2 linked regions of the Danio rerio genome follow. The protein of the gene in region 1 purifies or fractionates together with the protein of each later gene. This does not show direct contact. Links are inferred from orthologs where the notes say so. Each region holds a gene or a part of one and is shown in the gene's direction. Other genes may lie near its edges. The genes, in order: spast and nup107.

Region 1 (3,831 bases):
TAATCAGTGAACCTCTATCCTAGAGTGACAATTCTATGAACTTACATCATGGTTTTTTCATTGACCAATACAGATAACTATATCAGCACTGATAATTGCTCAACACAGCTATTCTAGGGTAACATTTTTATGAGTGTACATCTGATTTTTAAATTGATGATACAGATAAACATAAATATGTTTAAAATCGGCACCAATAATCAGCCAACCCCTATTCTATTATGACATTCCTATGAAAGTACATTATGTTTTTAAATTGACAAGTAGATATAACCATAAATATGTTTAATATCGGCACCGATAATCAGTCAATTCCTATTCTATAATGACATTCCTAGGAAAGTACATTATGTTTTTAAATTGACAGATAGATATAACCATAAATATGTTTAAAATCGGCACCGATAATCAGTCAACCCCTATTCTATAATGACATTCCTAGGAAAGTACATTATGTTTTTAAATTGACAGATAGATATAACCATAAATATGTTTAAAATCGGCACCGATAATCAGTCAACCCCTATTCTATAATGACATTCCTATGAAAGGACATTATGTTTTTAAATTGACAGATAGATATAACCATAAATATGTTCAATATCGGCACCGATAATCAGTCAACCCCTATTCTAGTGACATTTCTATGAATTTACATCATATTTTTTTATTGACTGTTACAGATAACCATAAATATATTTAATATCAGCACTTCTATTTTATAGAAGTAGCACTTCTATAAAAGTTCATTGTTTTTGTTTTTTTAAGTAACCAATGCAGATTACCAAAAAAAATTATATCGTCTATGAACATGTCTTTGAATGTTTAATGTGTTTTTTTGTAGCTCCAGCCAGTGGAGCAGTCTCCAAGAAGAAGGACACTCTCACAATCACAAATCAAACTTCTCTGCGGCCCAAAAATCCTCCCAAATCTACCCCGAATGCATCAGGTCTGAACTGCACTCCCTCAGCAGCTCAGAGCAGCAGGACCGGCCCTCAAAACAATCAGAAGGTTTGTCTCACAGGGTCCGACTTCACATTCTGTCTATACAGGGAGCTCAGTGTGAACTGTGTTATTGTGTTTTGTTTTTTTAGGGGCCCACAGTCAAAGGCAAAAATAATGTTAAAGCCAGTACCACTGCCACTGCGTCACCTCAAAGGAAAAGAGACATGAAGAACTTCAAAAATGTGGACAGCAAACTGGCAAGCCTCATCCTCAACGAGATCGTGGACAGGTAGAGTTAGAAACATTAATATTTAAGTGTTGAATCTTGCTATGTTTTAATACAGATTCAAGTATTGATTTGTATAATCAATATTTAGGTTTAGGTGCATATTGCAGTTTATTACAATGCATTATTGTTTTAGTGCTATAGTTGATTACTTTAAATGTTAAGTATATTAAAATAAAAAAATATTAGTCGTTTCTTCTACATAAAGTCATGTTTATGTATTGTATATTTCTTTTTCCGTGCAAAATTAAAATAATCCTTTATAATATTGATTTTAAACTGCTTTCTTCTAGAATAATGTATTTAAATATAAAATTATTTTAATTAGCAATGTTTGGGTGCATATTCCAAACATTTATTTTATGTATTAAGTTAACTGCTTAATATTTTTACTAATATTTTTTACCCCAAATTTTCTAATAGTAGTTTTTCCCCTAAAAATAACAAGCAAATAAATACTCTTTGACAAACCGTGATAATAATGTTAGTTTCTGTTGGATCATGTGACAAATATCACAAAATTATGTGGTGGAAAAAAATTAAGAGTTTTCACGTTGAAGCTGATGTTTTGTGTTGTTGTGTGTGTGTGTGTGTGTGTTTCAGCGGGTCTGTGGTGAGGTTTGATGATATAGCAGGACAGGATTTGGCCAAGCAGGCGCTGCAGGAAATCGTCATCCTGCCTGCCCTACGTCCAGAGGTCTGTTTTCACATCTCTCAACATCTGTACAGCCTCGAGCTGCTGGAGTTATTAAAGATCTGAGCCCCTTTCCAACAAATCTGATTTACAGGGATAATTCATCCAAAATGAAAAATCTGTCTTCATTTACACACCCTCAAGTTGCTCCAAACTCTTTGAGCATCTGTAGGACAGGCAACTGTTGGATTATGCTCATTCTGTATTCAGATATATTCATTTGTGATGGATAAAATTTACAAAATGACCACTTTAAACCCAATATGAGGGATTATCCACAGTGTTGAACCAATTAAGCATGTTCTACAAAACTGGGATTACTGGCATTGTTGCATTTATAATTTTACGTCATTTAGCCATTTAGTCATTTAGCAGACACTTTTGTCTAAAGCGACTTGCAATTGAGGAGGCATTCAGTGATTCAACAGGTCGAGGCAATACAAATCAACAAGTGCTAGTTATACAAATAATTGTTAGTTCTCAGAGAATTAAGTGCTAGAGTTAGAAAGGGGGAGTGTTTTTTGTTTTAAAGAGAGAGCAAAGTGTGTTTTTACAGGTGGTTTGTCAAGCCCACTCACCAGTGCAAAGCTCACTTCATAAATGTAGTGTTTTTTTGTTTTGTTTTTTAAGATGTGTGGTCATAAGAAAGTGTCTTGTGCAAAACTGGTGCAATTGTTTGTTAAAGTGTCAGAGAGATGAAAGGGTGTGTTTTCTACAGGTGGTTTGTCAAGCCCCTCACCTGTGTGAGGCACGCTCAGAATTGCATAATGTTTTGAGGATGTCATGTGGTGTGGTGGGGTTTTTAGTTGTTGTTTGAATGATACTAATGAATCAGGAGTCCCTATGGGAATGGGAAGATTGTTCCATCAGCGAGGAACATTGAGTGAAAAGGTTTTTATTGACTTTTATGTGGATCTCCTCAGTTGTTTACTGGTCTCCGGGCTCCAGCTAGAGGACTCCTGCTCTTCGGCCCTCCTGGTAATGGGAAAACCATGCTGGTAAAACTCCAATAATATATAGTTTGTACATTTGTGTATATTTGTATGCCATAGCTCAGAACAATAATTGAACTTCTCAATTTCCTTATAGGCGAAAGCCGTCGCAATGGAATCGAATGCTACTTTCTTCAACATCAGCGCTGCCACTCTCACCTCCAAATATGTGAGTATTCATCAGATGTTGCATAGAGACCACATACAGTTGACTAATGTGATTTATTTCTCTAGAGAAGATTGGCATATTTGGTGATGGCTGATTTCGAAACACTGCTTCATGTAGCTTTCAAAGCTTTATGAATCTTTTCGAACTGTTTCAAATCAAATTGGTCTCATGGTGCGTATCAAATCGGCATGGTCATGTGATTTCAGAAAACAGGGCTTTGATTTGTAACTTCTGTTTTAAAAGGTTTCAAAAATGTAATGGTGCTTTGCTTGGGAGTGATCTGAATAATACCATATTATTATTCATAAGGATCACATGGCTTCGATCAGATCGGCGTACAGGTTTCAGTTTTTACCTGTTTATTAAAATAAAAAACCTGAAAAATCACATGGCATTTACATAAGTATTGACAGCCTTTGCTGTGAAGCTCTAAATTGAGCTCAGGTACATTTTGTTTCCACTGATCATTCTTCAGATGTTTCAGCAGCTTAACTGGAGTTCACCTGTGGTAAATTCTGTTGATTGGACATGATTTGAAAAGGTATACACCTGTCTATATAAGGTCCCAGGGTTGACAGTGCATGTCAAATCACAAACCAAGCTTGAAGACAAAGGAATTGTCTGTAGATCTCCGAGACAGGATGGACTTAAGGTACAAGGCTGGTGAAGGTTACAGAAACATGCTAATCTGAACGTTTCAATGAGCACTGTGGCCTCCATCATTCGTAAGTGGAAGATGTTTGGA
Region 2 (4,309 bases), on another chromosome or scaffold:
GTCTGTCAGACGTTGGATTTTGGTTGCCATACCTTACGAATAAATTTCAGATTTGACATAAATATGATGTTGGTTTAAGATGTTGGATCGAATTTGGATTTTGGTCACTTTTCAACAGAACCTAAAATCAACCAAATATCAACGTCTAATGATGTTGTTATTGGACGTCAAAATAATGTTGTCCATAGATGCTGGCTAAACGTTGAATTTTGGTCATTTGACATCACGACTTAAATCCAACCCATGTGTGCCTGCTGAGATGATGTCAAGCAAAGTGTGTAATATAATTTTGTCAAAATAAAATATGGGTGAAATAGTGTCCCATTGGCATTAAGCATACTGATATTTGTGTAACAATTAAACAAAGTTCTTTTTCTGACCAGTGCTTATTAAACTTTATAAAATAATTAGTGATTGTACTAAATTATGTGTTTTAAATTGAGAAGAACATTTATGGAAAACAATTATATATTGGAATTAATAAGTTTTCTTTCTTTGTCATTAAAATCCATTACAATCTTATATCCATTCTGAAATTCTTCGAAATTTCAATATCTTGACAATAGAGCGGCCCACTTTGCAAACTCACAATTATTTTTGTCTGATGCATTTTCATTATGAGATGAAACATTAAGATGCATGTATTTTCAGGTTTTAGATCACGAAGAGAAGCTTCGAAGCATTACAGTAAGTTCATCTTATACAACCTCAAGCATGTATAAAATAAGCAATACTTTGGCAAACACTAGATTTAGAAGGACAACTGTTGATTTTGTGTTGTTATTCTTACCCACATGGCAAACATTCTCTGGCCCACACAATCAGCTTTTGCCTGGCCCACATGCTGCAGTGAAATGCGGTGCACAACGGGACAAAGTCTGGCCAAATATGGACCATTTGGGCCAAGTCTCAGCCAAGTTAACAGCTTATAGCTGGGCCTGAACTGGGCCACATATCTTGGTATGTCACGACTGCAGTAAAATTGATAAACTCATGTTACGTTATCTCCGTTCATCCTTCTATGTATCGAATTATTATGAGCAATAACCTGACATTAACGTAGACGTTAATAACTACGTGACATTTGTACGGAAAATCCTTCAAACATCCCCCGAATACCACTCATGAGACGTGACATTTTAATTTATTGTACAAATTAAAAAATAATCCCTTACACGTCGCGTGCGTTTAATAAAGCAATATATACGTTTTGAATTGGCTAAGGCTACAAATATGCTCGAAAAGTCTTATATTATTACAGGATAATTAGGAATAAATGTTATCCCAAAATCGCATACATTTAAAATGATTATAGAACAAATAAGATATTTTGATTTGCATGAAATTTTTCCTGTATCCAGTAGATGGCAGTGCCTGACAGGCTTTAGTGGTGCAGTAATCGTTCAGCTACTCCCTTAGAGGGCAGTGTGATTCACACAAAGACATGAACGGCACAGATGAAGAAATAACCTCAGAAGTGAAGGCGCTCAAACCGTGTGCTAGCAGCTTTGGCTAGCAGATAGGAACATATTGACAATATGGAATGGTAAAGATTACATTTTATTATTGTTTTGGTTGTTTACGAATGGCGTTGGATTATTTTGGTTGCTATATAGCCTTTCTGCCATACCCGGATGTAGTTACTGTATAGAGAACCGCTCCACATGTCAGTTGAATAGTTTGACTATAAAAACACATGACAGAAAAGAGCATATTTTATTTTTTATCACTTATATTGTGTTTCATTTTTTAAATTAATTAGAACATAATGCTATTATAGCTTAAATGCACCGTTTTAGGCCACATAAGAGTACTCATTTGTTAGCGCTCTTTGTTCTGGCAGTTTTTAGGTTAGATTATATTGAACTTCATTGTCATTACACATGTACAAGACATTATATAGGTTAGGTCTAACAAGGAGTGCAACAGGAGCAAGTGGAGGATTTAGGTATAAGTTATAAGTGGAATTATAGAAAACTATTGGTAATATTTGCAAACAGATGTACTATGAACATTATATACAGATACTTGGATAATCGTTGGCTACTAATATGATTTGCCAATTCAGAATAATATAATTTCTGAAATGATATTATTAGGAAGAATATAAAACCAACTTTACCTCTATAAAACCCAAAAATTCCTCACCTCGAGTCATTCTTTATACAAGTATTTATTTGTTTATTTTTTTATTTATTTTTTTATTTTGTTTGGTTGTTTTTTATTTTTGTTAATAATGGGTGGTAAAAAATATTAAGGCCAGGAAAGTTGTTCATCCAGCCTAACACTGTTCATTTTTTCTTCTGCAGCACTAAAGATGTTATGATGTGTAGGATGTAAAATGTGTTTATTCTTGTGCAGGAGTCAGACTTGGTTGAGTCCAGTGGTTCGGGACGCTGAGGTGACCCGTGCGGCCCGCAGAAAGAGTTCTCACAAAAAAGTTGCTTGTATCCTTTTAAGATTACAAATAACACTATCTGTATCTCCATGATCCTCACTAAAAAAATTGTTATAAGCATGTAGGAAGGATGTTATTATCCCTTTACTCTTGAGTTCAGTCCCGTTGGCACAGGATGACTCTCCTGGCACCAGCACGACCCCTGCTCGACCTCTCCTGCGCCAAACACCTGGACCTCGCCTTAAACAGACATGTAAGTAAACACATACTGCACACGTACACTATGAACTATAAAGACAGAATTATTAGCCCTCCTGTGAAATTGGTGTTCTTTTTCATATATTTCCCAAATGATTTTTAACAGCAAGAACATTTTGCACAGTATTTCCTATAATTTTTTTATTTTTATTTTGCGGAAAGCATTATTTCTTTTAGTTTTTCTGAAATATAAAAATAAAAAACTTTAAAATCTGCTGAGGTCGATATTATTAGCCCCCCTTTAGTTTTGTTATCAGTTGGGTGACCGCTGTACAAACAACTGTTGTCCAATGACTTGCTTAATTTACCAAAATTGTCTAGGTAAACTAATTAACCTAGTTTAAACCTCACTATTAAGTTGCACTTTAAAATAGCTGGGAAAATATGATGTACTGTCATCATGGCAAAGACAAAATAATTTAATTATTAGAAATTAATTATTAAATCTGTTTTGTTTTTAAATGTGTTGGGGAAAAAATCTAGTTTCTGTTAAACAGCACTTTGAGAAATAATTCAAGTTTCACAAGAGGGATAATAACTTCAACTGCACTGTGCTCTTGGGAAAAAATAGCAGTGAGCTTCAAATTGGAAGTAAATAAGATGTGATCTATAATCCAAAATGAATATTACTGCATGCAAGACATAGTCAAACTATTGTAATTTGATTCGGTCTAAAAAAACATTTTAATCTTATTTTCTAAATTAAATGATCACAAATTAGATATATGCAGTACACTATATAGGCAAGGCAAGGCAAGTTTATTTATATAGCACATTTCATACACAATGGCAATTCAAAGTGCTTTACATAAACACATATACAGTACATCAAAATGTGTACCTGCCTTTTTAAGGGTGTAACTAAAAAAAAACAGATACAGACCATTTAAATAAAAGAAATAGAAAATAAACAAATGATACTCTCTAAAGTTTTATAGTCAGCTGAATGATAAAAAGTTTATGCATTGGTATTTTTAGCTTAAATTTTTTATAATGCTGCGAGTCACATTTATTTATCTTTGTATCTAATCTAAAAGTTTGAAAATGTTTATTCTGGTTAAGTTTAAGTGTATTTACTCTTATATTTTGTGAAGAGCATGCTGTATTTATATGCTTTTTAAAAACTATTATTACAGTCACCCCAAGAAGTGCCCTTAGGAATCCCGATGTGTCTGCCATCCTCGGGACCTCAGGAAGCAGAACCCCTCGCTTCGTAAACACACCTCGTACCAAAGGCGGCCTGAGCATGGTGAGTGACCTCTGTTTGTACAAACATAACATCCTTTATCCCTCTGTACAGTCTATGTACAGATCAAGATGAAATGATTATCCCTCCTGTTAGATTTGTATTATTTTTTTCAATTATTTCCCAAGTGATGTTTAATAGAGACATTTTTTCCAACACATTTTAAACAGTAGTTTTAATCGTAAATATTTTATAACTAATTTATTTGGTCTTTGCTGCGATGACATTACATCATACTTGACTAGTTCTTTTGTGAGATACTAGTAATCAGAGTAATTTCAATCAGAGTCCAATTTCAAGGCAATGCAATTTTATAAATCATTTTCAAGGTGGCTAATAATATTGACCTAAGGTTTTCTTCCAGTCAAACTAAAGTAAACCAGAAAAATATATATATAATAGAAAAA

Evidence for each region.
Region 2: the proteins of spast (region 1) and nup107 purify together in Homo sapiens (affinity purification with mass spectrometry; 3 studies listed by BioGRID and IntAct, counting the BioPlex papers as one, with this or other methods). This does not show direct contact. The link is inferred for Danio rerio from reciprocal best matches to the Homo sapiens genes SPAST and NUP107.

What each region holds. Positions count from the first base shown.
Region 1 is NC_133176.1:54,347,468-54,351,298, reverse strand, and holds part of spast (spastin), read left to right. Parts: exon of another isoform or gene 1-263; intron 264-471; exon of another isoform or gene 472-774; coding exon of another isoform or gene 775-844; coding exon 845-1,011; intron 1,012-1,094; coding exon 1,095-1,234; intron 1,235-1,834; coding exon 1,835-1,928; intron 1,929-2,848; coding exon 2,849-2,923; intron 2,924-3,014; coding exon 3,015-3,086; intron 3,087-3,831. UniProt on the Homo sapiens protein: ATP-dependent microtubule severing protein that specifically recognizes and cuts microtubules that are polyglutamylated.
Region 2 is NC_133179.1:23,347,071-23,351,379, reverse strand, and holds the start of nup107 (nuclear pore complex protein Nup107), read left to right. Parts: upstream 1-1,450; 5' UTR 1,451-1,538; coding exon 1,539-1,546; intron 1,547-2,361; coding exon 2,362-2,447; intron 2,448-2,558; coding exon 2,559-2,651; intron 2,652-3,792; coding exon 3,793-3,905; intron 3,906-4,309. UniProt on the Homo sapiens protein: Plays a role in the nuclear pore complex (NPC) assembly and/or maintenance. Required for the assembly of peripheral proteins into the NPC. May anchor NUP62 to the NPC. Involved in nephrogenesis.